Struthio camelus: one gene and its partners. The protein of the gene in region 2 binds, or shares a complex with, the protein of the main gene of each other region. Links are inferred from orthologs where the notes say so. Each region holds a gene or a part of one and is shown on either strand. Other genes may lie near its edges.

Region 1 (7,476 bases), about 120 Mb from region 2:
CTTTTGAGAAGTACTCCAGAAATATTCAGAAGTTGTTGTTTAACAACAGATTTACAATTAAAATACAACTCACTGTCCATTTCAACTAAAGCAGCCAGAGCATAGCATCCTAGTTTCAGCACAGCTTACTCCCAGCCTTGAAGTGCATCACTGTCCTCCGATCCCATTGCAAAGCCGCAGTGAAACCTCAGGTGACATGCAGAGCCACCTTTGAAGTCAGCACTTCTGTTTAGCTGTCTGGCTGCTCCCTTCGATACCGCACCAATAACCGCGTTTCATCGCTACAGCTCACTAGCGGATCGTAAGACCCCGATGAAACTGCTGAGGCCTCAGAATTTAAATTTCCTGCCGAAGAGACATTACGCAGCCCCGAACGCTAGCCTTTAGTAACGCAAGCACTGAAGCGGACCTAAACAACATACTGAAGCTAACGTTCTTTAAAACAAAACGCTGCAAGCCAGTGCAATGCAGACAGGAGCCCAGCGAGTGGGCACAGCGCAGGATTTCTCCTGAGCAAGGCGAGCGTGAAACCGCCCGACGCGTTCCCATCTCGCGACCGAGGCGAACGGCTCCAGTAAACAACCTCTCGGGACGCCACCCGCGCCGAGCCCTCGCCCCTGCCCCTGCCCCTGCCCCTGGCGCAGCGCGGGCACAGGGCGGCCCCCGGCTGGCCCTGCCGGCCTGCCCGGGCCCCACCGCGGCAACGGGCGGCCCCCCCCTCGGCGGCGGGGCCTCACACACGCCCCCCCACCAGCCCACACCCGCCCACGCGGGCGCGGCCCCCGCTGCCACTCCCCACCACCTACCCCACAGGCCGCCGCCGCCGCCGGTCCGGCGCGCGCCCCGCCGCCCCCACGCCGCGCGCGCCCGAGCGCACGCCGCCAACGCCGCGCGGGCCAACGCGCCCCCGGCGCGACGCCCCATCGGCCGCCAGGAGCCGGCGGCGCGCTGCCCCCCCCCCCCCCGACCCGGCGCGGCGCTGCCCTCCCCCGCCGCCCCTTACGCTGGCTCGGCGAGGAGGTGGGGCGGGCGGCCGGGAGGAACCAGGAAGTGAGCGGCGCCGCCCGGCAGGGCGCAGCCCCCTCCCCCCCGCCGGGCGCCCCGGCCCACGCGCGGGCCCCGGCCGCCGGGCTCGGCCCCTCCGCCCGCTGCTGGCCCGGGCGGGCGGCCCTGGGGAGGGAAAAATGCGGGGCTCGTGAGGAAAAAAACAGGTTTTAGCAAGGGGGGAAAAAAGACCGTCTATATAAGAAGTATGTTTGTTAGAAGGAAAAATACGTTTTTCAGAAGGAAAATGCAGGTCTTGGAAGACAAATACATTTTGTATACGGAATAAAAAATGGTTTGTGTAAGGAAAAAAACCCCACTTCTTGTATAATAAAAAAGTACTGAAAAATGAAGGGCACCAACGTACACAGCAGCCAGAACAAGGCTCCTGCTTCTGCCTTGCGCACCCTCCCACCAGCCTTGTGGGCTTGTAAGGCTTCAGGATAGGGGCTGCCCTCTGATCCCGCAATACCGGGCACGTCAGGAGTCATGCTGGACATACAAGAGTGGGGGTGCTAACGTTTCTTCGTCATATGCTTCTGTGCGATATCCACTGTCTGTATGCTGAAGGGTAAGCATGTATATACATGCATATGTATGTCACAACTGATGCACTTCCATGTTCACTCTTGAGCACAAGACAGATGGTTTGCAAATGTCCAAAACACTGAAACATCAAACAGGACAGAGCATATAACTGCAGGTGTAATCACTCCCAGGCACCTGCTTGTTATAGATAGGGCAGTTGTTAAGTTTGCTTGACACTCTCCATTTTAAGCCACTGTTTCCGATGTTTACAACTTCACCAAGCATTAATCATGCAGTGTGAATTTTTACATTCCAGGTGGTTCCCTCAGGCAGATTTAATTTTTCCATTTCAGCCAACACATGTCATCCATTTACCATAATGAGGTTAGAGAAAAAGACATTGCTTTGCCCTTGTTAACAAATCTGGCAGCCTTTTTCTCTGATATACCTTCGTTGTTGCTTTGCCTTGGATAAGGGTATTCAAGTGTACTAGGATGTGGCCTTCATGTCAAGCAGATGCCTTTTGCCATCCCTGAGAAAAACAAACCAGATACAGACTTACGCCTCTGGAAAATTGCTGTTCTCATGTGAACAAGGAAGATTTGCTAGCTAGGCATCTGAACTATGCAAGTATTTGACTCACTTTAGGCAGACTCCAAGCTGGGATGGCAGAGGGGAAGAAAAAGCAGTTTCCTTGCTACTGCAGTCAGCTGCTGTGGATGAAGCCAAGAGAAAGACAGAGCTAGGAGCCAGCATACAGTCTTCCCTGTGCTCCCAACAGAAAGCACAGGATGCATCTGCGTTAGCCCTTTAGTTCAGAACAGGAATTCACTTTTTGAAGGGACTCTCTCAATCACTTCCCCTTACTGTAGTGTGGTTTACACTGTCAAGTACTACAATGTAAGAAATGCACTGCTGGGTGACACAAAAGGTCCATCTGTGTTGGACAGCAGCATTAGCAGATGCTATTTAGGAAGAGCACGTGAGCCTGGCCCCTTTTCTTCAGGGTCATTCCCTTTCCCTCCTACTCCCCAGCCTCACAGCTGTTGGCAGGGACCAGCCCCAGGAGGAGGCCTGGCCCTGCTCATCTCCTCAGGGTCAGGGGGAGGGTGCTCAGGAACAGGGCAATGTACCCACAACACCGCCTACTGCCACAGGCCTACTGCTGCCTCTTTCCTCCCTGTCTTGCCCCCCTCCTGCTATTTTGCTAAAAATGAAAAGACTGGGTGCCTGCTCGCCATCCTGGAGGAGCTTGTGGCCCTGGGTCCAAGCAAGGAGAGGATGAGCCCCGACAGGCAGGCCCTGAGTAAAGCACAGAGGCAACCCTGGCGCTCCCTCCTCTCCCTGCTTCCCAAGAGCCCCTGCCCTGGGATGGCTGACTCACCCCCCTGTCCCTGTCTGCCAGGACCCAACTTCCTGGGCCAGCATCCATGGGGCCCTGGAGCCCCACAACCTTAGAGACTAATGAAGATCTTCCAGACGCAAGGCTGCCAGTGCCAAATTTGCCATGGTGCCCGGGGCCCCCTGACATGGGGCTCCCCCATCCCTCATGCCCCCGTCTTCCAACCCCCATGCATGCAGAGCAATGATGCACTACACCCACCCAGCAGCCTCCAAACTTCCCTGAGTGAGACCCCACTGCTGACCCTTTCTGCTCAAAAGTGATCAGTAATCCCAACTAAATAACCGTGGCATGCAGGAACGTGATTCTTTCTGGATGCAGATAAGCAATGGGAAGCATTCTAGAAATGTACCTACTATGCTAAATGAACGTTCAGCCCACTAAAGGGACCAGACCAGAGCTAATCCAAAGTAAAATTCCCAAAATGTGCTTCACTACAGGATAGCTGCCATTGCATGCTTCAGATTGCCTGCTGAAGTAGGCACAGCCAGAAACGCTTCGCACATCTGACTGACCAAGGAGTTTAGGGAAAGAGCACAGGAAACTTCTACAGAAGCTCTGGCTTTGTAGCGTGTCATGCAAGTCACTAGTCATCCTTGTAAGCCACGGGTCTTTTTTACCCAGCTATCTGTCAACATGAAGATATTGACAGATATGTCAATGTGAAGATATTTAATATTGCCAGATAGCAATATTAAAAATAATTCAAAAACTATACACAAGAGCTGTGCTAAGAACATGCAACTTACAACATTAACCACTTGTTGTTATGAAACACTCAATTAGGGCTGTCAAAACCCCTTAATTTAATTATTGGGTTAATATATAGTATGGGTTTTTAATTGCATTTCCCATACTACTTTCCCAGGGATATATGGCACAGAACCAAGAGCACTCTCCTAATGAGAACGCCTTGTTTTTTCCCCGCTCCTGCACCAACCTGCCCAGCATGCTGCAGCTCACGCAGACCCTTCTCCGAGGTAAAAAAACCTGTTTATTTTCTCATTCTTCTTAGGGTACTTATCACTGTGCAGGCCCTTCCCAAACGCTCGTGTATTTTCACAGCTTCTATGAGTAACTTTTACCTTGGCAAAGGGCAGGCAGAGAACGATGAACAACCCCCTTGGCCTATGACGAATTTGAGCTTCTCGGACGGGAAATTTTCCGGCGCACTGGCTGCTCAGCAGGCACCGTGTCCAGAGCAGTGCCCGCGACTGCCCAGGTGGGGCTGGAGCTCACTGCACCCCAACGAGACAGGCGCCTAAAGCCGGGAGAAACGCCCCCCATCGCCTGTCCCCCAGGAAAAGCTTCCGAGGAAAAAATAACGACTGCGCTCCCGACCTTGCCTGCAGGCAAGCGGGGCGAGGGGGAGGCAGGCGGGGCGGCGCAAAGTCCCCGCCATCAGGGGCGCGCACGGCCTGCCACGGGGCCACGACGGCGGCCCAGCCGCCCCAACGGCCGGGGCGCGCGCCGAAGGCAGTGCGCAGGCGCGGCGCCCGCCTCCCCGCTCCGACGGCGGCCGCGCTCCCCGGCGTCACGTGGGAGCGGAGCGGAGCGGCGCGCGCGCTCCCTCGCTTCCGCCCGCAACGGCCGCGGCGGAAGCGGAAGCGCGCGGCGTCCGCGGCGGCGGGAGCGATGGCGTCGGTGGTGCTGAGCGAGGCGGAGAAGCTGTACATCGTGCACGGCGTTCAGGTAGCGGCGGCGGGGAGGGTGGCCGGTGGTAGCGCTGCCCGGTGAGGGGCGAGGGCAGGACCGTCCGTCCCCCCCCACTCCAGGCCTGGTCTGCGTGAGCGGGCGTGCGGGGCGCTCCGGGACAGCGGCAGGCTGTAGGTGTCCTGCCTTGTTTCTCCCTTCCCTTTTTCTCCGGGGGGTGGTTTGTTTATGCTGGGAAAGAAAGCCTGGGTAGAGATGGGGCTACGTTGTCGAGGGGCTTTTTATTGTTATGACTTATGTGTGATAGTCTGCTTAAGGAAACTGTGCAGGTGTTACTGAAAATACAAATTTTCAGCAGAGTGTACTGCAGTAATCATCCTGACAGGTGTGCTCACTGTGGAATGCAAGCTGGGGAATGCTTATTATGCATGAAAGCCTCACTAGTATAATCTGATGTTTCAGGCTCTTTATTGTTTACTTCTGTGATATCAACAATGTTTTCAGCCCTGTAGCTCACTAATCATTTGTGGGGAAATGAGTTACAGTGTAGATTTTGTGGGTGGGGGGAAGCTTTCCATTATCTTGGGTCTAGGAGAGAAAGCTCTGGGATAATCACCCATTTGTGTCACTCTACCAGAGCTGTCACTAAACATACGGAGAGCAGACCATCAGAGCAGGGAGAAGATTGGCAGCAGGACATGGTTGTCTGGCAAAACTCAAAAAGAAGAAGGAAGTGTACAGAATGTGGAAAAGGGGACAGGCCACTTGGGAGGAATACAGGGACGTTGTCAGAGTGTGCAGGGATGCGACAAGGAAGGCTAAGGCCCAGTTGGAATTAAATCTGGCAAGGGATGTCAAGGACAACAAGAAGGGCTTCTTCAAATACATCAATAGCAAAAGGAAGACTAGGGAAAACATGGGCCCGCTGCTGAATGGGGCGGGTGCCCTGGTGACGAAGGATACAGAGAAGGCAGAGTTGCTGAATGCCTTCTTTGCTTCAGTCTTCACTGCTAAGGCCAGTCCTCGGGAATTCCAGACCCTGGGGACAAGAGAGGAAGGCTGGAGAAAGGAAGACTCTCCCTTGGTTGAGGAGAATCGGGTTAGAGATCTTTTGTCCAAACTTGACATCCATAAATCCATGGATCCCGATGGGATACGTCCACGAGTGCTGAGGGAGCTGGCGGATGTTATCGCTAGGCCACTCTCCATCCTCTTGGAAAGGTCCTGGAGATCAGGAGAGGTGCCTGAGGACTGGAAGAAAGCCAATGTCACGCCAGTCTTCAAAAAGGGCAAGAAGGAGGACCCAGGGAACTACAGATGAGTCAGCCTCACCTCCATCCCTGGAAAGGTGATGGAACAGCTCATCCTGGAGGTCCTCACTAAGCATGTGGAGGACAGGAAGGTGATCAGGGGTAGTCAGCATGGATTCACCCAAGGGAAATCATGCTTGACCAATCTGATAGCCTTCTATGACGGAATGACTGGCTGGGTAGATGAGGGCAGAGCAGTGGATGTTGTCTCCCTGGACTTGAGCAAGGCTTTTGACACTGTCTCCCATCACATCCTCCTAGGTAAGCTCAGGAAGTGTGGGCGAGATGAGTGGACAGTGAGGTGGATTGAGAACTGGCTGGATGGCCGAGCTCAGAGGGTTGTGGTGAATGGCGCAGAGTCAAGTTGGAGGCCTGTGGCTAGTGGTGTCCCCCAGGGGTCAGTCCTGGGTCCAGTCTTGTTCAATGTATTCCTCAATGACCTGGAGGAAGGGACAGAGTGCACCCTCAGCAAGTTTGCTGATGATACTAAACTGGGAGGAGAGGCTAACACACCAGAGGGCTGTGTTGCCATTCAGAGGGACCTGGACAGGCTGGAGAGGTGGGCAGAGAGGAACCTCATGAAGTTCAACAAAGGCAAGTGCAAGGTCCTGCACCTGGGGAGGAATAACCCCATGCACCAGGACAGGCTGGGGGCTGACCCTGCTGGAAAGTAGCTCTGCCGAGAAGGACCTGGGGGTCCTGGTGGACAACAAGTTGACCATGAGCCAGCAGTGTGCCCTTGTGGCCAAGAAGGCCAACGGTATGCTGGGGTGCATTAGGCAGAGCGTTGCCAGCAGGTCGAGGGAGGTGATCCTGCCCCTCTCCTCAGCCCTGGGGAGGCCCCACCTGGAGAACTGTGTCCAGTTCTGGGCTGCTCAGTACAAGAGAGACATGGAGCTACTGGAGGGAGTCCAACAAAGGGCTACAAAGATGATGAGGGGTCTGGGGCATCTCTCCTCTGAAGAAAGGCTGAGAGAGCTGGGCCTGTTCAGCCTGGAGAAGAGAAGACTGAGAGGTGATCTGATCAATGTGTACAAGTATCTGAAGGGAGAGTGTCAAGAGGATGGGGCCAGTCTCTTCTCCGTGGTGCCCAGCGATAGGACAAGAGGCAACGGGCACAGACTGAAACACAGGAAGGTCCATCTGGACATGAGGAAAAACTTCTTGACTGGGAGGGTGACAGAGCGCTGGACCTGGTTGCCCAGAGAGGCTGTGGAGTCTCCTTCCCTGGAGATATTCAAAACCCGCCTGGACACAATCCTGGGCAATGTGCTCTAGAGGACCCTGCTTGAGCAGGGGGGTTGGACTAGATGATCTCCAGAAGTTCCTTCCAACCTCAACCATTCTGTGATTCTGTGGTTCTGTACTTTTTTTCTCGTCCTCTCCCCCCTCTTCCCTTGCTCTTTCCCAAGTTTTTGCAGTCGTATAGCGCTTTAGCCTGTTACTAAGCTGGAGAGTAGTGCGTGGAGCAGGGAGGAAGAGTGAAAGACACGTGGGGAGAAGTGCCAAGAGAAAAAGGATTATACCTTCTACAAAGTG
Region 2 (6,681 bases):
ACCAGGCCCTGCAAGGGGGAGCAACGGCCCCCCCCCCGGCCAAACCCTGCAAGGGGGAGTGCATGTGCAGCAGCCCCCTCCGGCCAGGCCCTGCAAGGGGGAGAGCAATGGCCCCCCCGGCCAGGCTGTGCAAGGGGGCAAGGGGGAAGCAACACCCCCCACCCCCCCGGCCAGGCCGTGCAGTGTTGGGGGTGGGTGCGAGCAACGGCTCGCAGAACCACACAGCCGTGCCGGGCCGTGGGGCTGCGGCGTTCCCGGGGATTGCCCCCCCAAGACGAGCGAGCGGCGGCCGAGCGCAGGGCCCTGCCGTGCCCAGGGCCGCTGGGCGTCCCTCCCCGAGGCCTCGGTCCGCAGACTGGCGGGACCCGGGCTCCCACGGTAGCAGGGAAGGGGAAACAGGCGCCGGCAGGGCCGGGCCGGGCCGGGCAGGCTCCGTCCGGGATGGCGGGACGCGGCCGAGGGAGGAGGGGTCCCCCGCCAGGGGCCTCGCAAGCATCGCCCCAGCGCCCTCGAGGGAAGAGACGCCGACCGCGGCCGAGCAGCCCTTTATTGAGGACGGACTCCGCAGGGCGGGACCTGCCGGCACCGGGCCGAGCCGCGGCCCGCGGACCCCGGCTCCACCGACACCGTCAGCAAAGCCGCCCGTGGCGGCGCTCCCGGCCGCGCCGCGCAGCCGGAGCGCGAGGGCGCCGAGGGGACGCGCGGCCGGGGCGGCCCGGTTCAGTCCCCCAGCAGCGCGGTGACCTCCTGCACGTGGTCCCGCACCACCTGGTCCAGGATGGCGTGCACGGCCTTGCAGGCCTTGCTGGCCGCCTCAATGACCTCCTCCAGGTGGTCCTCGTGCAGGCGCGAGTTCATCTCCAGCAGGGCAATCTGCTCCGACGTGGGCAGCAGGGCCAGGGCCACCTGCGGCCCCCCGGACGCCTCCTCTATGTAGCTGAGGTCGGCCAGCGGGGTGTCCTCCACGAAGCCGGCCGAGCTAGCGCACACGTAGTCCCGCATGGGGATGCCGGCGTCGATGACGGCCAGCGTTGCGGCGTTCACGCAGGCGCAGTAGTTGCCCCCGTCCGCCTGCAGGATCTGGGGGAGCGGCAGGGCAGGCTCAGCGCTGGAGCCAGCCCCCGGCACCCCTGGGGCCGAGGCCCGGAGCGAGCAGGGCACAGCCCGCCCCGCAGACGGACCGTCCCCTCCCCGTCCACCCCTGTCCCCCACCGAGGGGCTGTCCCTCCCCCGCCGGCCCCGGGGCTCGCCTGGACGTAGATGTCGATCTGGGAGCGGGGGTAGAGCTGCGTGAGGATGGCGGCCTCGAACGTCTGCTTGAGGTGCAGCGTCATCTCGCTGGACTTGCGGTCGCCGTGGGGCCGGCGCTTGCGCTCGCTGGTGCTGAAGGTGGCCATGCTGTACTGGCAGTTCACCAGCGCCCGGTCGTGCAGGGCCTTGCTGCGGGAGCCGCGCATCTGCAAAGGGGCCAGGGTGGGCTCCAGCCCCAGGGGGCCCAGACACCTGGGTCCCTTCTGGCTGGGGCGGGGCGGGGGGGGAACAGGGGATGCTTGGGACCGCGGGTAGGATGTGGGTGGGGGAAAGCAAGCTGCCTGGCTCCCTCTTGGGCCCGGAGGGGAGACAGGAGGGGACAGAGAGGACAAACCTGGCCACTTGGGCCTGCTGGCCCTAGGGGGACGGAGATGATGGAGGGGACAGAGGGCACAGCAGGAAGAGTCCACCTGCCTGGGCCTGCCGGTCCGGGGGGATGGAGGGGAAAGAGGGGATGGAGGGGACAGCGGGGACGGTCCACCTGCCTGGGCCTGCCGGGATGGAGGGGACAGAGGGGACAGTGGGGACGGTCCACCTGCCTGGGCCTGCCAGGATGGAGGGGACAGAGGGGACAGTGGGGACAGTCCACCTGCCTGGGCCTGCCGGTCCGGGGGGATGGAGGGGACAGCGGGGACAGTCCACCTGCCTGGGCCTGCCGGGATGGAGGGGACAGAGGGGACGGCGGGGATAGCAGGGACGGTCCACGGGGATGGAGGGGACAGAGGGGACAGCGGGGACGGTCCACCTGCCTGGGCCTGCCGGGATGGAGGGGACAGAGAGGACAGTGGGGACGGTCCACCTGCCTGGGCCTGCCGGTCCGGGGGGATGGAGGGGACAGAGGGGACAGTCCACCTGCCTGGGCCTGCCGGGATGGAGGGGACAGAGGGGACGGCGGGGATACCAGGGACGGTCCACGGGGATGGAGGGGACAGAGGGGACAGCAGGGACAGTCCACCTGCCTGGGCCTGCCGGGATGGAGAGGACAGAGGGGACAGTGGGGACGGTCCACCTGCCTGGGCCTGCCGGGATGGAGGGGACAGAGGGGACAGTCCACCTGCCTGGGCCTGCCGGGATGGAGGGGACAGCGGGGACGGTCCACCTGCCTGGGCCTGCCGGTCCGGGGGGATGGAGGGGACAGCGGGGACAGCGGGGACAGTCCACCCGCCCGGGCCTGCCGGGATGGAGGGGACAGAGGGGACGGCGGGGACACCCGGCCAGGGGTCGCGGCAGGCCCAGAGGGACGGCGGCCCGGGCGGGCGCTCACCTCGTGGGGGCCGTACACCACGGCCAGCGCCTTGGTGTTGCCCTGCTCGATGTAGGCCGAGCCGTCGGCCTGCGCGAAGACGCCCATGCGGGCGCGCACCTTGCGCAGCTCGGCGGCGCGGCGCCCGTCGGCCCGGTAGCCCTCGTCCGACAGCAGCTCCAGCGCCGCCATGCCGCTCCCGGCGGCCCCCGCGACCGCGCCCGCCCGGCGCGGACTTCCGCTCCCGGCGGCCCCCGCGCGCCCGCCCGGCGCGGACTACACCTCCCGGCGGCCCCCGCGCGGCCGCCCGGCCAGCAGCGCGCCGCCTCCGCCGCCAGAACTACAGCTCCCAGCGCGCACCGCGGCGCGGCCGCCGCTCCCGGCATGCCCCGCCCCCGCGTTGCCATGGCGGCGCGGCCTGGTCGGAGAGGGCGGCCGGCCCGGCCCGGCCCGGTTCCCCCCGCGGGGCGGCGCCGCGCCCGTCCCTGCGGCCCGCCCGGTGCCCGGTCTGCCCGGAGCCCCCGGCCGCCCCCGCCTCCTGCTAGTGCCGACCCTTGAGGCTTCTGGCCCTGGGGATTGCTCCCTTGGGGGTGGAGCGGGGCCATTTCTTCCTTTTTTTGGTGTTTTTTTGGTGTTTTTTCCCCCGGTTGCCTCATTTCTCCGTCGCTCCCCGCCCCGTGATCGCTCCGCTCGCGGGACGACGGTAGTGCGTGAGCCGCGCTGCGCTGCGGGAGCTCGTTGAGTAGAAATCAAACAAGCGCTTAATCCCTCTGCTACAGACCAGCCTAATCTCACAACTCGCTAATTCGCTACTTCGTGCGCTGACGAGCAGAACAGAGAGCGGGCCGACGGCGGGAGCGCTCGCCCCTCCTGCTCGGCCGACGGGGCCGTGCCTTCCGGCTCGGCCCTGCGCCCTGCACCTCTCGCTCGTTTCGGGCGCTCCGCCAAGATACGCTTACTTCCAAAGAGTTTCGGTCTTATCAGGTGTTAACAGGCGGTTACTTATAAAGCCGCCGCCGCCGGGAGAGCAGACCCGGCTCCTTACGTCCTTGAGCGCCTGGCGCCCGCGTTGCTCTCGGTGCGCCCCGCGGGCACCCGGCCTCGGCACGAGCCCCGCGTTCGTCCCAAAGCGGAGCAGGAGTCGCTCCCCCGGCTTGGGACAGACCAAAGGACTCGCAAACCCGCCGCCTCGGCGAGCGGAGGTGCTGTTACTCCTCACGCCTTGCTGGGGTCAGGCTAGGGGAAAGGTTTGAGCGCTTTCGCCTAAACGTAACTTCACGGTTTGTTACCAGGTACCAGCTGATCATACCTGCCTTCAACACGGTGAGGTGAGTGACAGACTCGGCTATACGAACATAACGACATAATAATAAAATGCAGAACAATACCATGATCGTAGGATGTAACGTAAGATGCAATCTGCCATCCCGTGGAAATGGTGCGCATCCCATGGAAATATGCTACCAGTGACGCCCAGCAGTTTGATTTCTGTTTCAGTCCTCACAATCCAGCCAGCATCATGTTTGATAGCAAGAGTCACCCCTTCTTTGATAAGCAGCAGCTCCCTCATGTTTGGTGATGAGAGTTTCCAGTTCTCAATCTGAGAACACGCCGAGTCCCATAGCGGTCCTACGGGTCCTGCCCCGTCGTAGGCCAGTACTCCGCCAGCATCGGTGTGAGGTCAGCTTTACGCTTTCCACAAAGTCGTTCACAGCTTTCCAGTGCCGTAACGTTGCATCGGCGATCTCGGGCAGGAGCGATGGTTCTATTCATTCATTTATTTATTTATTATTTATATTCCCATTATTGCATAGACCATCGCAGAGCAAAACCCGGTTTTCCCTTAAGTACAACAGTGCCGTCATCATACGCAGGAGTCTAAACAGCAGGTACCCGAGGAGGTTTTACTCGAACAAAGCTCTTGCGATACCGAACGTTCAGGGCGGTACAGGTCATGTTTTCCCCATTGTTCACATCCGCGAGTATCGATTAGATTACGTTTGTAGTCTATTTGCTTCCTTGAACTGGAGCCCATACACTCTTAGCTACGGTAACGGGCAGTGAGGTATATTGGTAAATTGGTCTTTCTTTGATTTCCTTACTCACAGTGCGGTAATAAATGGATCCAGACGTCTCAGCAGACATCTCTTGCTTCCTACCCCTGAGTATTCAGTTTTGGTAAATTGGTGTCTCCGGTCCTGACACCAGTACGGTGATGGGGTCCCTCACACAGCAGGATTTCCTCTGTGGCTCCAATTGGCTTATTGTTCGTGTTCATTTATAACGAAGGTTTGCGTGGTAACACAAGCAGTGGCATGGCTGGTGTTGGAGACGAAACAGGGAACGGTGGTACACGTCTCCTTCAAAATCTGTTGGAGCTTTTTCCAGGGACTTAGACCAATAGCCAGTGTTTTAGTGGTTGTGTCCGTTCCACTGACTGTATCCGTGGTCTGGCCAATTATAACTTGTTTGCTTAATTGTCCTAGTTTAGGCATTTTATTATTAACAATCTCTAAGTCCATGGAATTCAACACTCCTGTGCCCAATCCAGCAGCTCCCAAACCACTGGAAAGATCCTTAACTGTGCGAGTTTTCCAACAGGACTCATATCATTGCTCACATATGGGTATTGTCCATTGTGAGCGATTTAAATATACCTTACTAATATTAACAGTGTCTCATCAACTCTTAATGTAAAATTCCCGTACTTCAGGGGCGGCAAAAAAAAACGCTAATCTTTTGGGAACTTCTTGGGCAATTGCTATTGCTGCCCTCCGTGGCACACGAGCCGCGAGCTTGACCGGTAAGTGGCACACGTAACGAGTCCTAGCGGCTCTGTTCCCTGCAGGCCTTGCCACCCTTTGATGGCATTCTCTGATATTTTTGCATGGGTACAGTTGTGCAAGAGGGCAAATGTAATAGACCCTTCCTTCAGTAGTATCGTGGTCACACTGGGGACGTTGTCTCCCTCTATAATGTAGCCGTTTCTCCGGACCGAGTCCAGGTCCTTGGATAGGGACTACTAACAATTAAGTGGACGGTAAGGTTGGTCAGGTGGTTTTAACCTTCTTTTTTACTACTGCACTGGTGGGTTGTAGATATGTTGGGCCTCATACCCCATGTCACAGAAGAAGTCACCAGCATGTGTGTGTTTGCTGGATTATTGCAGAGTGCATCCACGTTTATGCGCTATATCCTGGATTTCCTAAAGTAAGGATCAGAACTGTCGGATACACGAGGGGTCCTCTTAGATATTAGTGACATCCTCTGTGGCGATGACACAGCAAAATCAAAGTTAATGGCACAGCAAGTAGCAAAACGGGATAATTCAGTAGCTGCAAGGCTAGGCCGTGGCTTCCCTTCTAGACGTCATCCCTACGCGACAGTTCACGTACTTGCTACGCAGACGCTTTCCGTCGTAGACAGGTTGAACGACGGTTCCCGTTCCTTTGTCCGGGAGGTCGGCAGCTCCTGGGGGGGAACAAGACGACATAGGTCTTGGCTCCCATCCCAGCCTCAGTAGTGACTCGTCTCACTCCCGTAGATCTACTTTCCCTTGAAAGCGCTGCAGAGTAGCCCCGCGTTTCCCAGCCACGGTGCTGAATTCTCACCTCTCTCCGGGATGCCTCGCTGAGGTGCTCAAGGCACCTAAGTTTTTCCCCTAAGTTTCTTCCCCAATTAGAGCCACTCTTACACCATCTGAGTTGTTGTTTAAACAACCCGTTCCATCTTTCTACTATACCATTACTCTGAGGTCGATAGGGTCAGTGGAAAGTCCACTTACCTCCATGCTTGAGACACCACTCTTGTGCTATTTTCTTTTTAAAATGTGACCAATTATCTTGCTGTATCTCTTGTGGCATCGGGCGTGTACTATAGCATTGGCTTAATCCTGTTGCAATCCCCAATCTGGATGGCGATGGTGTGTGTGTGGGGGTAAACATTACCCAAACCGCCCGACGCTTCAACTGCGGTCACAATAAATTTCCACCCCTTGGAGGTAGGTAGCCTGAGTCCGACACAGTCCACTCGCCCGGCGCTCCAAGGGACCTTTCCTTCCCCAAGGTTTACTTGCTGTTGACTTTTGTCAAGATAAGCCTTCATTACATCACAAAATCCTCAGGTTT
Region 3 (7,526 bases), on a different chromosome or scaffold from region 2:
TTGTTTTCCTAGATTCAAAATGTTAAGGACTTTTCAGTATCAACATGACAGTATAGGAAGTCGCTTACATTTGAGAGAAAGACTGGCTGAGGCAAAGATTTACCTGCTCTTTTAATAGCATAATCCCACCACTGGACTGGATGGTACAAATTTCACGATGTTTATTCATGGCAATTACAAGGAGGCCATCCATTACACGTTCTTCTCTTTCACTTGGATCCACCAATAAATAGGTCCTAAAATCAAGTTTTCGAATATAATGCAATACTAAAAGTTTAAGGCAAGCGAGTTACTATTCTCAAGAAAATCTAACCGGAGAATAGGTTTAAATGGAAATAATTATGATTATACCTCCCCACCTTCAACCCAAGAAAGTTTTCTACGTTGTCTGTGAAAGGTAGTGGTTACTTAAGCTTGTGCAGTACACCCAAGTATCTCAGTGACACCTCATTTCAGATAAAGTGTTTTAAGAAATCAGCCTATCAATACAAACATTGTTAAGACTCTTCTACATTTATTGTAGAATTGACAATAGGCTGCTTCTGTCAAAGACTTAACAAAAAGCTTACCCTTCTTGGAAGAAGGCAAAACTGACACAAATAGGCATGTGATGGATACTCAAAGGGACAGGATCACGCTCCTCAGGTGTGTACTTTAAAAAGAGTTGGCCAGAAGACAATTATTTACAAAACACGTATTTGATTTCAAAAGGATGTACTGTTCACACAAGATATTTAAAGGAATAAAAAGCAAAAAAAAAAAAAAAAAAGGCACATGAACTTTTAGTCATCTAAATATTAACAAAAATCTTTCTAACTATTCTTGTGTAATCCTTTCTGTTTATTACCTACACAGGTAAATGGAGCGCATTCTTCATTCTCATATTTGATCCAGTTGAAATACTGCTCATCAGTTAACACATTCTGTAAAATACTTATATTTTACAATTAATGTTCCCACAAAGCTGAAGTTGATAAAATTCAGTATTCAGCAGGCTCACTCACTATCCTCTCACATGTTCTGCAGCAATACATTTATCCTAAAGCAGTATGTATCTTGGAGTTCATCTATTTACATAAACATTTATTTTTGCTCTCTCAGACAGAGAGGAACAACTAACTGTGATCCCACAGCACTTACTATGGGCTGATATAACTTACCACAGTTACTTCCTCTCCTTGTACAGATACATCTGGTCTGCGAAAATGACACAAAGCTACAATTCCTGCTATGCTAGCAGCATCAATAATGTTCCCGTCATGATTTAACAGATGCAGGTCCACACGAATTTGCCAAACCTAAGAAAAAGTATACATAATAACTCAGTAATTTGTAACATGATTCCACAGAAGCTGTCATTTTTCAAAATGCTTTCAGCTTTTGAATCGTTAAAGGAAGCAAGGGATAGTCTTCAGTTCTTGGCTTAAGAAGTTAGGATGAAAAATCTTGGTAAACAAGGCAGTGACCACCTTAAAAGCAGACCATACGCATCCTCTAGTATAAAACCACCTGGAAATCGGTAGCTCTCCATACCTTTTCACCAGCAATAACGCAGAGAGATTCTGTATCTATACACTTGGAGTTTCTCAAGCATCGTTCTATTAGTCTGTTCAGTTTCACCAGTAATTCAGATTGCCTGTTAAAATAAAATCATCCCAGATCGTGTATGATTGCACTGCATATTTATATGTATCAAAACAGTGGCTCTTACGTTGCCCTGTTTTTAGTCTTTTTAAGAAAGCTACATACCTGCCAGGCTCAAAGGCAGGTGCAGCCATTGGTGAGAGCTCAAGGTTGAAGAAAAGTACGCCTTCTGCAGCCCGATTTGGCTTGGGGGGAACAAGTTCACATGAGACTTGTCCAAGAACCCTGCAGAGGGAAATAAACCCCCAGGCCATAGAATTTAGTAGGAAAAAAAACCCTACCACTAGAAACAAAATATATTCACTGAAGAAATGTGCATTTGGGCTTTTATTTTGCAGTACTGTCTTCTCCCAGTTTCTACCCTGTCATACATGTTTAAATGCTAGTCTCTAATTGAAAGGACTGAACGCAGACATTAAAACATTGTCCCAAACTTTAGGATTAAACCAGAATCAAACACATGAGAATTAAGAACTAAAAGTTTATTTAAGTGCATATGCTCCACTTTTCCCCATACATACAAGGGACATCTGATTTGTGGAAGACTGCAAAATGTATGAGGTCACTGAATAACAGTATGCAAAATTAAACAGTATCTATAATTGCTAAGTTTTTCTTAACCTACCAGCAACACGGAAATCCCATCCTTTCCCTCTCCTTTCCACTCCAAATTATCACATACGCTCTTACTCCTGAACTGCTACCGCTTTTAGGCTTCGGCCCTTAAAACCCCTTTATGGCGATTTCAGTGGGCTTCCAAACGCCTCTCATCCAATGCTGAGCGTTTCATCTGCTTCTGCCGGTTGGGAAAGTGTAACGTTTTAAAGTGAGAGCGCCAGCAGCGCCTGAGCCATCTTCACCGGGCAGCGAAGGCAAGCTCGGGCGGCTCGTTCCCGGCCGGACGAGTCCCCCCCCCTCCCCCCCGCCTACCTGGTCTTCCCCAGCTCCACGATGCAGCAGCCGTAGTCGGCGCCGAAGGAGATGCGCACGTTGCGGTAGTCATAGCTCTGCCGCCCGTCCAGGCGCTGCCAGAGAGAAACGCACACAAGGTTACGGCGCCATCCCCGGCGGGCGGGCGGGCGGGCAGGCGGGGGCAGAGGGCCAGGGGCCCGCCGCGGGCGGCGAGAGCCGGGCAGGCCGCCGCCGCCGCCACGGGCAGAGCAGGGAGGGAAGGAGAAGGAAGAGGAGGGAGGAAGGCCGGTGCGGCACCTTGCGCTCCTGGACAGCACGCAGCAAGAAGCGCCGCTCACAGTTGGACAACGGCGTCTCCCTCATGGCGGCCGGTGCGGGCCGCGCGCCGCTGCGTCATCACGGGGCGGCCGGTGGGCGCCGGGGCGCACGCGCGGCGGCGGCTGCGCGAGCCGCCCGCGGGGCGGGAAGCGCCGTAACGGCTCTAACGGCTCTCGCGGCTGAGGCGAAGCGCCCCTCGCACGAGGCTCTGCCGCCGGGCGGCGCCGGGAAAAGGCTCCAAGAGGGGAATTAGTCTTTACAGCCTCCTGCAAACACTCCTTCTAAGAGAAACCTGTTTATCTCCGTGGGCCAAGCCTGCTAATAAAGGTGGTTGATACGGTGACTGATCTCAGTATCATGTTCTGCACCTGTAAACTTGCCCTCTGGAGAATTTGCACATTAAGTTGATCTCTGTTGATCTGCGTTTTGATTGGTGTCACTAATGCTACTTTAAATCAGTGGAGGAGACTTTCTGATGCTTCCATAAGTCTTTGCTATGTTTTTAAGCTTTAACTCTGGTAAGAACCGAGATACAGAGACCTTTGCTAGTGAAATTTGTGTCGGAATGACCTGAAACGGTCATAAGGTAGTGAAACGTGTCGCAACGTAAATACATACAAAGTAGTGTTTGGTAGCTGAGAAAGTAAGTTTTAGCCATAGTTTGGCGATCTGCTCCCACAAGGGGTGACCCAGGTGGCCTCGGAAGGTGTTATTGTGGTGTCTATGAGTCTCGATGCATTTTTTAGTGACTAAAGGAATAAAGGCTATGGGGATGTGTGCAAAAGGCTCTGTTGTCTGGGAACTCATATGGAATTAAAAAAATCCATCTCTCATATTTTCATTGGTTAATACAGATGCAGTGCCCAGTCTTCAAGACAGGCAGAATACTAAAGAGAGGCCAAAGAAGAGCAGCCTGTAGAAAGCAGCTAAGCTGGCAGCGGTAGCAAGGTGAGTAGGACTGTAGACAAAAGTACAACAAAACTTTGAATTCATTTCCTGTTGTTCTGAAGCTTCTCCTGTAAGTGAAAACTCAAGGCCTTTACAAGTGGTTTTTACTTTTGGTTTGAGTTGAAATGAGAAAATCTGTTACTCGCACATATTCTCGCGTAGGAATGTTGAAATATCTTCATGATACTATATTTTTAAAGCTCGTTAACACACTTAACAAGTATTAAGAAGAGTTTAGTGCAAACTAACAAGTGAGTTGCATTCAGAAACTTGCGGTTTATGCCAAATGAGGACAAGCACTGTAAGACTACCTGCGCTGGTTTTATATTTTCAAGATATAATAAATGCTTATCATCAACGATATTTATTCTAAAAGAATACCAACAAGAGATTGTAATGGCCCTCTTGTTGTAGAGACAAAGATAAGCCAATAGTTTTCCTAAATGATACTACATGTTAAGCAACAATAAGGTGCAAAATGGTTTAATACTTGCATGCTTTAGTCTAGTCACAGATATATTAACATTTGGAGCAAGGTTTTCTCTCATCCACTGTCATCATGGTTGTTTTATTTTTCCCTTGGACTTTGAGGTGCAGATTTTACTTGGGTAGAGATTCTGATGGTTTTGCTTTTTTTCATTCTTTGTTTAAATTCAGTGATGGCATTCATTAGTGAAGACTTGGGGTTAAATTCTGGCCATTTTGAAATCACTGAGGAAAAACACTTCCACTGGGACCAAGCTCGCTCCTTATTAGCAGACTCAGCCCTTAGTTCTGCAGTGCTGTGGCTGATGCGACTTTTTACATGAAATGTAGAACTTGGGTACTAATCACTTGCCGTCACTTAAGATTTGATAAGAATGAAATTATTTTCTAAGAATTAATAGCAGAATAATTTTTGGTGAAACGTGTAAGTTGAATAACAAAAGTGGCAAGCTTCTGAGAGAGGTGGGATGTAGAGGTAGGCTTTGTATTTTGAATGGCTTTCTAGTTTAAACTATTTTTGCCAAGCATGCTAATACAAATCCTTTCCTAGAACACTGATGCATTTCTTTTGTCGCCTCGTGATCTGTATGTTGCATTCGTAGAAACTCAGTACAAATTTCAGACGCTTAGTTGCACTGAGGAGATTTTCTTTTCTGGCATATTCAAGTAAACCTGAGGTAAACACATAAATGACCTTCTCTGAATGTTTTTTCTTACATCTTTTATGTGCTATCATTTTGTATTTGTCAGTATACTTACTAGGAGTCCGTTCTCATCCACATAGTAAGTCATAGTATTTGCTGGAAGCCGGATTGTGGAATATTTGTCATTTTATAATTTAAAAAGAGATTAGAATCTTTTTACATCCCAGTGAATAGAATGTGTTTGGCGGTGCTTTTGAGTTACGTCTCTAACAAATAGGGTAATCGGAACAATGTTGTGTTACTCTTTTCTCGCTCTCTCTGTGTTTTTTAGTGTAGGAGTCTAATGGTAGCATTCCACAATATCATTATGATCACAAATGTGATCTTCCATTTGGCTAATCTTGGTTACAGGAAGTGAGAGGAAGGTGACTGGGCTCACCATCTTCAAAGAGAACTCTGGAGAACATGTTCCATTTGTAACATGTTCCATTTACTGTATTATTGGGAATTTACCTACAGTCATTGTAAATTCTCTCCGTAGTAGATTGGGTTAGCTCTGCCATTACTTATCTTACCAAACCTCAAGAAATCAGAGATTAGCTTGTCTGAAAAAAATCATTCAGCCTTGTGAGAATAATTTCTTTCCAGGAGTGGGATACGTGCATTACATTCAGTAAGGGGGATATATGAATATGCAACCAGTTCAGGTTATAGGGTTCCATGTTATGACACTTGAGACTGAACTGAAGTGATCTGAGGGTGTACATTCACTTTCAAACAAGGTAATTTGATGTTTTCCCCTACATTGGCACGACAGGTTTTTTTCCACAGAATTACTGAGGTTGAAAGGGACCTCTGGAGACTGTCTAGAGTCCAACCTGCCTTTTTCAAGCAGGGTTGGCTAGAGCAGGTTACCCAGGGCTGTGCCCAGTTGGGTTTTGAATATCTCCGAGGATGAAGACTGTGCAACTTCTCTGGGCAACCTGTTCCAGCGCTTGGCCGCTCTCACGTTAATTTTTTTTTTCTTATATTTAAATAGAATTTCCTACAATTCCATTTGTCCCCATTGCCTCTTGTCATGTCACTGGATACCACAGAAGAGTCTGGCTCTGTCCCCCCATCAGGTATTTATACACATTGATAAGATCCCCCTGAGCCTTCTAGAGGCTAAACAGTCCTAGCTCTCTCAGCCTCTCCTCATATGTCAGATGCTCCAGGGCCTTAATCATCTTTGTGGCCCTTCACTGGACTCACTGCAGTTTGTCCCTGTGTCTCTTGTACTGGGGAGCCCAGCACTGGCCCCAGCAGTCCAGGTATGTCTCACCAGGACTGAGTAGAGGGGAAGGATCACTTCCCTCAACCTACTGGCAACGGTCTGCCTAATGCAGCCCTAGCAGCTGTTGGCCTCCTTTGCTACAAGGACCCGTTGCTGCCTCACGTTCACCCTGTTGTCCGCCAGGACCCCCAGGTCTTTCTCTGCAGAGTTGCTTTCCGGCTGGTCGGCCCCCAGCCTGTACTGGTGCAGGGGTTTATTCCTCCCCAGGTGCAGGAGTGGGCATTTCCCTTTGCTGAACTTGATGAGGTTCCTCTCTGCCCATTGGTCTCAGGGGCCTGAGGTTCCTGGAGTCAAATCTTACCAGTAAAGAACAAGGTGAAAAAGGCATTAAGTACCTCAGTCTTTTCCATGTCATTTGCCACAAGGTCCCCACCGCATTCGGCAGCAGGCCCATGTCTTCCCTGGTTTTCCTTTTGCTGCTGAAGTCCTTGTGGAAGCTCATCTTGTTGCCCTTCACATCCCTTGCCAGATTCAATTCCAGATGGTTTTGACTTTCCTTACCCACCCCTGCACACTCGGACAGTGTTTCTGTATGCCTCCTAGGCCACCTGTCCCTGCTTCCACCTCTTGTAAGCTTACTTTTTATATTTGGATTTTGTCAGGGAATCCTTGTTCATGCACGTGCCGGGTCCTTGAGGACACTACCAGGCCCTGCTGGCCCTGCCCAGGACCCCATTTCGGCTCAGTCCCTGCCCCAGCAATGCCATAGCGGTGCTGGCCTCCAGCACTGTCACCGCCCTGCCCCTGCCTGGCCATGGCCCCCTTGATCTGGACCCTGACCTGCAGGCTGACAGCCTGGCCTGGCCTCTGCCCAGCCCTGTCACCACAGCTCGGCCTGGCCGTTGCTGGACCTGATCCTGACCCTGACCTGCGGTTTAACTTCCCAGCTTGCCCTTGGCCCTGCCTCCTCACCATGAACTTGCTGGATGATCTGGACTTGTGGTTGAAGCTGGCCACAATCTCTAGGTCTGCCCTGCTCCCTTGCTTGGGTGCTGTGGGGCCCTGACTGGCAAGGCCATACCCTGCCGGCCGTGTTACTGTGCTTGGCTTCCTACTCCCTGACACCATGCAGGCCTCCTGCTGCCCTTGCTTGAGTTCCTCCTCATCAGGGTGAACCGTTCTTGAGTTTGGAGCAGGTGACCCTTGAAAATCAGCCAGCCCACCTGGATCCCCATTGTCTCCAGGACCGTCTTTCATGGGATTCTCCCAAGCAGGTCAATGCAGAGGCGAAAGTCTGC
Region 4 (7,707 bases), on a different chromosome or scaffold from region 2:
GCTGTGCCCAGTTCTGGTTATCACCTCCTTGTTCTGTGCAGGAGGGGGGAAGCTAGGATACTCTCTGCACTTGCTACTGCTGTGGAGAGGCCCAAGAGGAGCCAAACTCTGCAGCGGAGAACAACAGCCAGAGCACCCTGCTGATAGTCTTTATTGCAACAAAGCTGCTAGGCACTCCCCTGCACCACTAGTGGCCTGGAAACAGGCATTTAGCTCCCTTGTGCCTGCACTGCTGTGGGAGGTCATCCCCTCCAGCAACTCCACTGCTGCTCTACAGGAGCCAGCCCAGCTGGCTAGGGGCAGCTGGAGCAATTCCTCTGGACAGTAACTGAGCAGAGCAGAAAGCTCTTGGAAAATATTTATTATGCACAGCACAAATATAAAATCCATCCTGGGAGGGAGGGCCTGGCTGGCTCTTCCAACCTCTGGCAGGTGCAGAGCTGAATGCAGGAGGCTCAAATCCAGTGGTTCCTTGGGCCACAGCAGCCCCTGGAGGGTGGTGGCTAGCAAGGCTCACTGCAGGCTCCAAGGGGCGCAAGCCAGCTGCTGCCAGCCAGCGACAAGCCATGCCCCATTGGGCTGGCAGGGCTGCTAGGTCTGCAGGAACTCGGGCTGCACGCGGGCCACCTTGCGGAAGTCCTTGGTGTGCGTCCGTGGGCACTGCATCTCGCACCAGCTGATAGGCACCATCTGCACCCCTAGGAAGCGTGGCAAGTCAGTGGCTGGTTTCTCAGCACCGCCATCCCTGTGCTGTGGTGCCTTACCTCCCTCCACACAGTGTCTGGGCTAGGCCCCTCTGACTGCCCCAGGGAGCCAAGGGGGCTGTGTGGGTTCGTGCCCAGAGGGCATAGCTCTGGCCTCCCAGCTTTAAGGCAACAAAACCCCTTTCTGCTCCCACTGCGTGACCACCCACCCATCTCTGCTAATAGCCACAGACCTTCACTTGTATTCCTTGTTTCCAACGGTCCAAATCCCTCCTCCCAAGGCCCTTGGGGCCCATGAGGTTCAGCAGCACAGGGGAGGAGGGTGCTTCTGCTCTCTGAGCTGCATCAGCTGCTCCTCACATGGGGCGAGGCAGAACTGGCCGAGCCTGGGCCCTGCTGCCTGTTCCTACCTGCTTCGCTGCGAGCCACCACCACACCCAGCTCGTTCTCCGCCGTGCTCAGCAGGTAGTTGGACTGTGCATCCCCCAGGGAGATCTGGTTAGAAACGGGTTAAGGGAAAGGCCTCCCTGAGGGGACTCGAGCGCAAACCCTCTCCCCCATGCGGGCCCTCCCGGTGCGAGGGCAAAGGATACGACTTTGGCCAGGACTATGTCACCAGGGCGGAAACTCTTGTAAACTTCTACCTGCATGGGAGAGAGGAGACACAAACACACAGTGTGTGGGGGAGCCTGTCAGTGGGGGCATGGCAGGGCAGCCATGGCAGCTGCCCCACAGCTGGGGCAGGACAAGTGCCACCCTGCCAACAGAAAGGAGTACAGGAGGCTGAGCACATGCCAGGGTTGCTGTGGTAGCCCAGAAACTGGCAGTGCCTCACTGACCTTGTCTTTCTCTGTGGCTCGAATATCTTCTCTCCTAGAAGAGGAGACAGAGGGATCTGAGCACCGGAGTGAGCAAACAGGACTCCCCACCCCGCTGCAGGAGTTTCCCCAGCCTCTGTCAATGCCCACCAGGGCTTGCTGGGCATCTTGCCGGCACTCGAGGCAGAGCTCCTGCCAAAGGCTTCGCCTGGCTGGCAGGGACCAGAGCCCAGGCAAAGCAGTGCAGAAAACCCTTCTGCTCATGTTGAGGACGGGCCATTTGGGCACTAGGCCTTGCTGGGAATCCAGCCCTTTCCCTACCGTATGGTTCCCCGGAACGTGGACTTCAGGGGTGTGGAGCCGATGTACAGGATGTGCACCTTGGCAAAGCGGGAGTTAATGCTGCAAACCTGCCAAGAGGAAGAGCTGGGAATCAGTGCCAATCCAAGCGTGGTCTGACCCCAGCACGCCTTCCCCAGACATCCATGCACCAGGACAGGTATAAGGCAAGGGTCCTGCTGCCCATGGCTGTACATGAGAAGGTAGTGTCCCAGGCCCCCCCAGCTCTGTGTACCCAAAGGAGCCGCAAAGGAGAAGGGATACCCAACAGCAAGCCAGCAGGAAAATGGCACTTGTACACCTGAAGAGTGCACCAGGCTCCACAAGCCGTGGGGCAACAAGGTTTGCCAGGTCTGCCACTGCAAGGCTGGCATCTCCCTCCTGCACCCAAAGGGCCCTCCTCCTCAGAGCACAGACCTGCACACACTCCAGTGCCCTACCTTGCATGTCACAACGGCCCCCACATCAGGCAGGAGCTGGGACTCAGCATCTCTCACCACAGACACAACAGGCAGCTGCACGGGAGCAGACGCGAGGGTTAGCTCAGGGCACGATGCACGGCTCACGCACATGGTCGTGCTGGACCATGCTCAGAGCACACACTGGCTGGACAGCCGGAGCCCAGCTGCCCAGGGCAGGCAGCGGGCTGGGAAGGGGCTGCACAGCCTCCTCTGGGGAAGGGCAGTGCGTGCCACAGCCATGCTCACCCCACTCTCCTCGCTCCTCTTCTCCAGGCAGCCAGCCAGCGACGCGAAGATGAAGCCGTGCCGCGTGTAAGTCCCACTGCCGGCGCTGGCTTCCCCGGTGCTGCACAGCCGCTCGCCTGCGGGACGCGCGCGCAGCCTGAGGCCGGCGCCGGCAGAGGCCGCCGGGGCTCGGGCCGTGCTGCCGCCGCCGCCGCCGCCAGGGCCCCTTCTGCAGGGCGGCCCTCTCCCCTATCCCCAGAGCCCCCCGGGCCTGCCTCCTCGCATGCCCCGGGGGGCTCCCCACCACCTCCTTCCCGGCCAGCCCTCCCCGAGCCGCCTAGGCCCCGCGGCGGAGCGGGCGGGCCGGAGCCTTGCACTCACCGGGGACGCAGTACCGAGCCGGAGGCGCCATGCTAACTACTCGCAGTGCACCCGCAGAAAGCCCTCACTCTATTGGCCCCCGGCAGCAAGACCCTGCCGTAAGCGGCGCTACTATTGGCTCGTGCCGGCCCTGCCCAGAGCGCTGGCGCGCTGCCCGCTGGGAGTTGTAGTCCGGCGCCCGCCGAGGGGGCGCTTCCCGGCAGGCCCCGCGCGGCCAGCGCGCAGGCGCAGTGTGCGGGGCGGCGGGAGCTGCCCGTGGGCAGAGGGCGGCGGGCCGCCGGGCATGGAGACGGCGGGCGGCGGGGCCGCAGGTTGCTGGCACGGGGGAGCGGGGCCCTATGGGCTGGGCTGGGCAGGGCATCACTGAGGGATGCCATGGGCCTGGAGGGGACCTGGGTGTCAATGGGGGATGCTGTTGCCTGGAGGGGGCTGGGTGCTGTGGGGCTGGGAGTGAATGGGGGGGGGGTTATGGGCCTGGAAGGGCTGGGTGATGTGGGGCTGGGAGTCGGTGTGAGGGTGCCACGGGCCTGGAGGGGGCTGGGTGCTGTGAGGCTGGGAGTGAATGGGGGGGTGCTATGGGCCTGGAAGGGCTGGGTGCTGTGGGGCTGGGAGTCGGTGTGAGGGCCATGGGCCTGGAGGGGGCTGGGTGCTGTGGGGCTGGGAGTCAGTGGGGGGATGCCATGGGCCTGGAGGGGGCTGGATGCTGTGGGGCTGAGAGTCAGTGGGGGGATGCCATGGGCCTGGAGGGACTGGGTACAGTAGGTAGGGGGTGCTGTGGGCCTGGGGAGTGAATAGGGGTATGTCATGGGCCTGGAGGGGCTGGGTGCTGTGGGGCTGAGGAGCCTAGGTGCTATGGGGCTGAGGGCTTTGTGCGGTTGGCATGGGCAGCCTTTGTGTTATGTTGCTGGGTGCTGAAGGAGGGTGACTCGGAGCTGGAGGCTGCGGGGCATGGGTGCTACTGGAATGGGGGAGCTGGAAGCCAGCAGAGGGTGCCACAGGGCTGGGCTCCGCTAAGCTGCAGCCCCGCAGGGTCTTGCAGGCCTCGCCATATACCTGGGGTAGGGCCTTCCCTAAAGCTCTCTCCTGCTTCTTGCTGTTTTGATGCCTGTGGTGTCCGGCTTGGCCATGCTGGAGGTTGCTGCTGCCCCTTCCCTGGCGGGGAGATGGCCGTGCTTGTGTGGCTCGGCTCCTCAGGGCCATGGGCATGGCAAGGGCTGGAGCTCTGGTGCCAGAGCGAGCCTGTGGTGATGCACGGCTCTGCTGGAGCCTCGTCGTTGCTGTCTGCAGGGGGGAGCCCCGGGGCAGAGGGTTCCTGCCCTGTCCCTAGGCAGCTCGGGCTGACTGCCTTCCGTGTGCCCCTCCAGCTCGGCAGCCACCATCTGTCAAAGGCGAGGCAATCTCTTTAATCAGAGCCTGGCAGTCTTGGGGGGAGCGGGCTTGGCAGGCATATATGCTGTGGGTTTGGAGAGGAGGGCCGGCCCCAAGACCTGCCCCGGCTGCAGCGTTTTACCCTTACTTAGACTAAAAAGATGGGGACAGATGCCACCCAAAGGCTATGCAGCTGAAAGTGCTAATCCACTTCTAATATGTTTCAGAGGAAAACTCTTGGCAGAGTCTAGAGAAAACGTAGGGTAGGGGGTGGCACTGGGGCTTGCTCATCCCACCCCCCCATTACCAGAGTGCAGGAGAAGTAGGAACCTGGGGAGGAGTCATGCTTATGGCCTGTGGCGGATTGCTGGGTCTGGTGGGTCTGACACCCTGATGTCCAGCTGCTCCAAGCCTTGGAGTCAGCCCTACACTCGTCTGGGCAGGGCAGGGCAGGGCAGGGCAGGGCAGAGGGGAGCCCCTGGCTCCTTTGGACAGCCCGTGTGGATGTTGCAGCTCCTGACCTTACCCTCTCTGCTGCTCCCCAGGGGCTGTCCCCTGCCAGTTCCTTCTGGTGTGGCAGCATGTTGGTGGCAGCAGGTATCGTGGCACAGGGAGCTGGTCCCCGCTGGACAGGCTCTGCTGCGGGTGGCACCTTCCTGCTCCCTCCAACTGGCGTGGGTCCCCCGCGGGTTGGGAACTGAGATGGCCTGGGCTCCGTGGTTTGGGCACAGGGCAGCGCTGGGCCCAGCAGCTCTGCTGTCCTGTGGGTCCCGTCATCACGCTGCTTTAGCCGCACTGGGGATGTGGCTGGGTGTTCCCAGTATTAGGGAGTGGAGGTGTTTGGAGGATGGGGGAGCAGCAGGCTGGAGCCAGGCGAATGCTGCTTTAGACCTGGCTCCGTTGCCTTGTGTGGCGAGTCCTGCCTGCCGAGGGGCAGCTCTGTGCCTGCCTCGCCTGGTGCCAGTGGGGAGCTGGAAACAGCAGCTGAGAGAGATTAGGGCAGTTTTTGGGGCCAGGGTGGCTGCGGAGCTGTCGTGAGTCGTGTGGGGGACAGGCTCCGTGGCAGCATGCGGCACTGCTGCCTGGCACTGTGCTGGGGCGAGTGCCTGGCCCAGGCTCGGAGAGTGCCTTCGCAGGACCCTGGGGTGGCCTCACTCCTGGTTAATATTGATGGGCCATGCCTGCACGGAGGCCTCGGGGCCCCGACCCAGCAGATCGTTTGCCTCGTTGCTGGGCCAGCTCGGGTTCCTCCTCGCTCCTAGCACGGCTCTCGGGTGGGATGAAGAGCTCAGCAGGCAGGTGAGCTCTTGGCTGTGAGGGTCTCTTTTCCTGCACAGCATCATGTCTGCCTGTAGCTTCCCAGGGTCAGACCAGCCTGTCCTTCACTGTCACGTGGGGTTATCTGAGGTGAAACCAGGCAAGGGGAAGAGGGGAAGCTGTGGGTCTCCTGGAGTGGGGCTGTGAGGTGGGGAACAGCTCCTGAGGCTTGGTCTGGAGGTTCGAGCAAAGCGAAGCAACGTCCAGGCCCTGCCCTCTGGGGGTAGCAAGGTAATCTTGGTGTGGGTCCTCTGTGCTTGTCTTCTGAGGACTCCCCCAGTCCTGAACTGGGCATGAGGGACTGGGCCTGGGATTGTCCCTTGTCTCTGAGCATCCTTGGTGAGCCCCTGCCCTGGAACTGGCCCAGCATCCTGAACACTTGCGCCTTCTCTGGTTTCCTCTGAGTCAGTCTCTCCGTCTCACTATCCTGGCCCCCTCTCCTCTGGGAAAGACGAGATGGGACTGGAGAGCGTCTACACCCAGCCGTGGAGGGCTGAGGGACCTGTGTCCCCTGCTGCAGCCCCACGGCCTCCAGGAGTGTGGGCTCAGCTCCTCCTACTCCTACTCTGCATCCTTGTGTGGGACATAGGAGAGGTCCTGGCTCTGCTGTGCATGCAGGTGTCTAGCAGGGTTGGTGCAGGGAGCTGGGGTGTCACTCAGGGCTCTGAGAGGGTGCAGGGAGCTGGGGTGTCACTCAGGGCTCTGAGAGTGGCACCAGCACTTCCAGGAGGGCAGAGCCTCTCCAGGGAGTCCCCAGCCCTTGCTGTGGGACGGCTGGGTGCCTGGGCAGTGCAGCGGCCTGCCCATGCTAAGCGTCTCTCCTCGCAGGTGCGGCACGGCAGGGATGAGGAGCCGGCAGCGGATGTTTGCGGCGGTGATGCGCCTGCTCCTCAAATGCCTGCGGCTGGGCCGGCGGCGGCGGTTTAAGCTGGTGCGGCAAGTGGAGCAGCTGTGGCACTACGGGCGCCTCTGCCTCCGTTCCTTGCTCTACAACTCCTTCACCAACAGCGACGTGGTGCTCGATTCCCTCTTTGAGCCTGTCTACTGGCTGGTGGACCACGTCACCCGTTGGTTCGGTGTGGTGAGTGTCCCCAATGGGGAGGGGTGCTCCTGGGGCAATTGAATCTTACCCCTGCAGGGACTGAACCGGCTGCCTGCACTGGGCTTGATGTGTGCTGTGCTTAGCTGGAGGGAGTGGGGGCTTTGGCTTGTGGTTCAACTCGTCTTCCCGTGCCTGAATCCTGCCTTGGTAGAATGGGGCAGGTGCTGCGTGCTCCCGTGACTCAGTTCCCTTTCCCATAGGTGTTTGTGGCACTGGTGATTGGGCTGACAAGCTCCATAGTGGCCATTGTGTACATCTGCCTGCTGCCCCTCATCCTGCAGACCTACACACCTGCCTGGATATGCTGGCACCTCGCCTACGGACACTGGAACCTCCTCATGATCGTCTTCCACTACTACATGGCCATCACCACCTCTCCTGGACACCCACCACAGGTGAGGCCAGGCCTGGGCACCAGTCAGCAGCCCAGCCTCTCCCGGGAGCAGGACCAGCACCAGCTGTAGGGGAAGCTCTGGGCTGCTCCCCAATTTGTGCTGCAGACGACTGCTGGGACCAGCCAGACCACCCTGGGGGCATCACTGCAGGAGCCCTCTTCCAGGATGGGGCGGCTGAGGCTGGGCAGTGCTGGGGCGGGGGAGTGATGGAGAGGTTGGTGGGGGGCAGGTAGTGGGCTGTCCCCAGTGCTGTTTAGGGCTCGCTCAGAGTCATAAGGGAGGTGAGGAGCATGGGAACAAAGTGCTGGAAGTAGGGGACAGGGCAGGGCTTGGGGGCACCAACCCTCTTCTGTCCTGTGTGCAGGCCAAGGACGATCTCACCGGCGTCTCCATCTGCAGGAAATGCATTGCTCCCAAGCCAGCTCGCACCCACCACTGCAGTATCTGCAACAGGTAGGGTCCCTCACCGTGCCCCACTGCCACCTGCACCAGGTAGTGCCCACAGCAGCCTGCTGTGCCCGTGCTGCTCAGGGCAGCTTCTGGGAGGCCTCTTCCCCCGCCACTGCCGCAGTACTGCAGGAGCTGGGCCCCTTCCCT

What was found.
Region 1: EXOSC4 (region 2) and EXOSC7 share a complex: the UniProt entries of both Homo sapiens proteins name them as parts of the RNA exosome core complex. The link is inferred for Struthio camelus from reciprocal best matches to the Homo sapiens genes EXOSC4 and EXOSC7.
Region 3: EXOSC4 (region 2) and EXOSC9 share a complex: the UniProt entries of both Homo sapiens proteins name them as parts of the RNA exosome core complex. The link is inferred for Struthio camelus from reciprocal best matches to the Homo sapiens genes EXOSC4 and EXOSC9.
Region 4: EXOSC4 (region 2) and EXOSC1 share a complex: the UniProt entries of both Homo sapiens proteins name them as parts of the RNA exosome core complex. The link is inferred for Struthio camelus from reciprocal best matches to the Homo sapiens genes EXOSC4 and EXOSC1.

What each region holds. Positions count from the first base shown.
Region 1 is NC_090943.1:50,965,411-50,972,886, reverse strand, and holds the start of EXOSC7 (exosome complex component RRP42), read left to right. Parts: upstream 1-4,458; 5' UTR 4,459-4,609; coding exon 4,610-4,666; intron 4,667-7,476. UniProt on the Homo sapiens protein: Non-catalytic component of the RNA exosome complex which has 3'->5' exoribonuclease activity and participates in a multitude of cellular RNA processing and degradation events.
Region 2 is NC_090943.1:173,041,267-173,047,947, forward strand, and holds EXOSC4 (exosome complex component RRP41), read right to left. Parts: upstream 2,803-6,681; 5' UTR 2,747-2,802; coding exon 2,576-2,746; intron 1,458-2,575; coding exon 1,251-1,457; intron 1,081-1,250; coding exon 721-1,080; 3' UTR 511-720; downstream 1-510. UniProt on the Homo sapiens protein: Non-catalytic component of the RNA exosome complex which has 3'->5' exoribonuclease activity and participates in a multitude of cellular RNA processing and degradation events.
Region 3 is NC_090945.1:19,634,106-19,641,631, forward strand, and holds the start of EXOSC9 (exosome complex component RRP45), read right to left. Parts: upstream 3,003-7,526; 5' UTR 2,920-3,002; coding exon 2,854-2,919; intron 2,694-2,853; exon of another isoform or gene 2,670-2,693; coding exon 2,575-2,669; exon of another isoform or gene 2,560-2,574; intron 1,870-2,559; coding exon 1,750-1,869; intron 1,637-1,749; coding exon 1,534-1,636; intron 1,299-1,533; coding exon 1,161-1,298; intron 653-1,160; coding exon 570-652; intron 237-569; coding exon 104-236; intron 1-103. UniProt on the Homo sapiens protein: Non-catalytic component of the RNA exosome complex which has 3'->5' exoribonuclease activity and participates in a multitude of cellular RNA processing and degradation events.
Region 4 is NC_090948.1:16,978,393-16,986,099, forward strand, and holds EXOSC1 (exosome complex component CSL4), read right to left. Parts: upstream 3,016-7,707; 5' UTR 2,960-3,015; coding exon 2,929-2,959; intron 2,685-2,928; coding exon 2,569-2,684; intron 2,377-2,568; coding exon 2,302-2,376; intron 1,933-2,301; coding exon 1,844-1,932; intron 1,578-1,843; coding exon 1,544-1,577; intron 1,349-1,543; coding exon 1,298-1,348; intron 1,200-1,297; coding exon 1,115-1,199; intron 699-1,114; coding exon 592-698; 3' UTR 347-591; downstream 1-346. Other genes in the region: palmitoyltransferase ZDHHC16, read left to right, coding at 5,474-5,595, 6,442-6,694, 6,916-7,110, 7,475-7,563. UniProt on the Homo sapiens protein: Non-catalytic component of the RNA exosome complex which has 3'->5' exoribonuclease activity and participates in a multitude of cellular RNA processing and degradation events.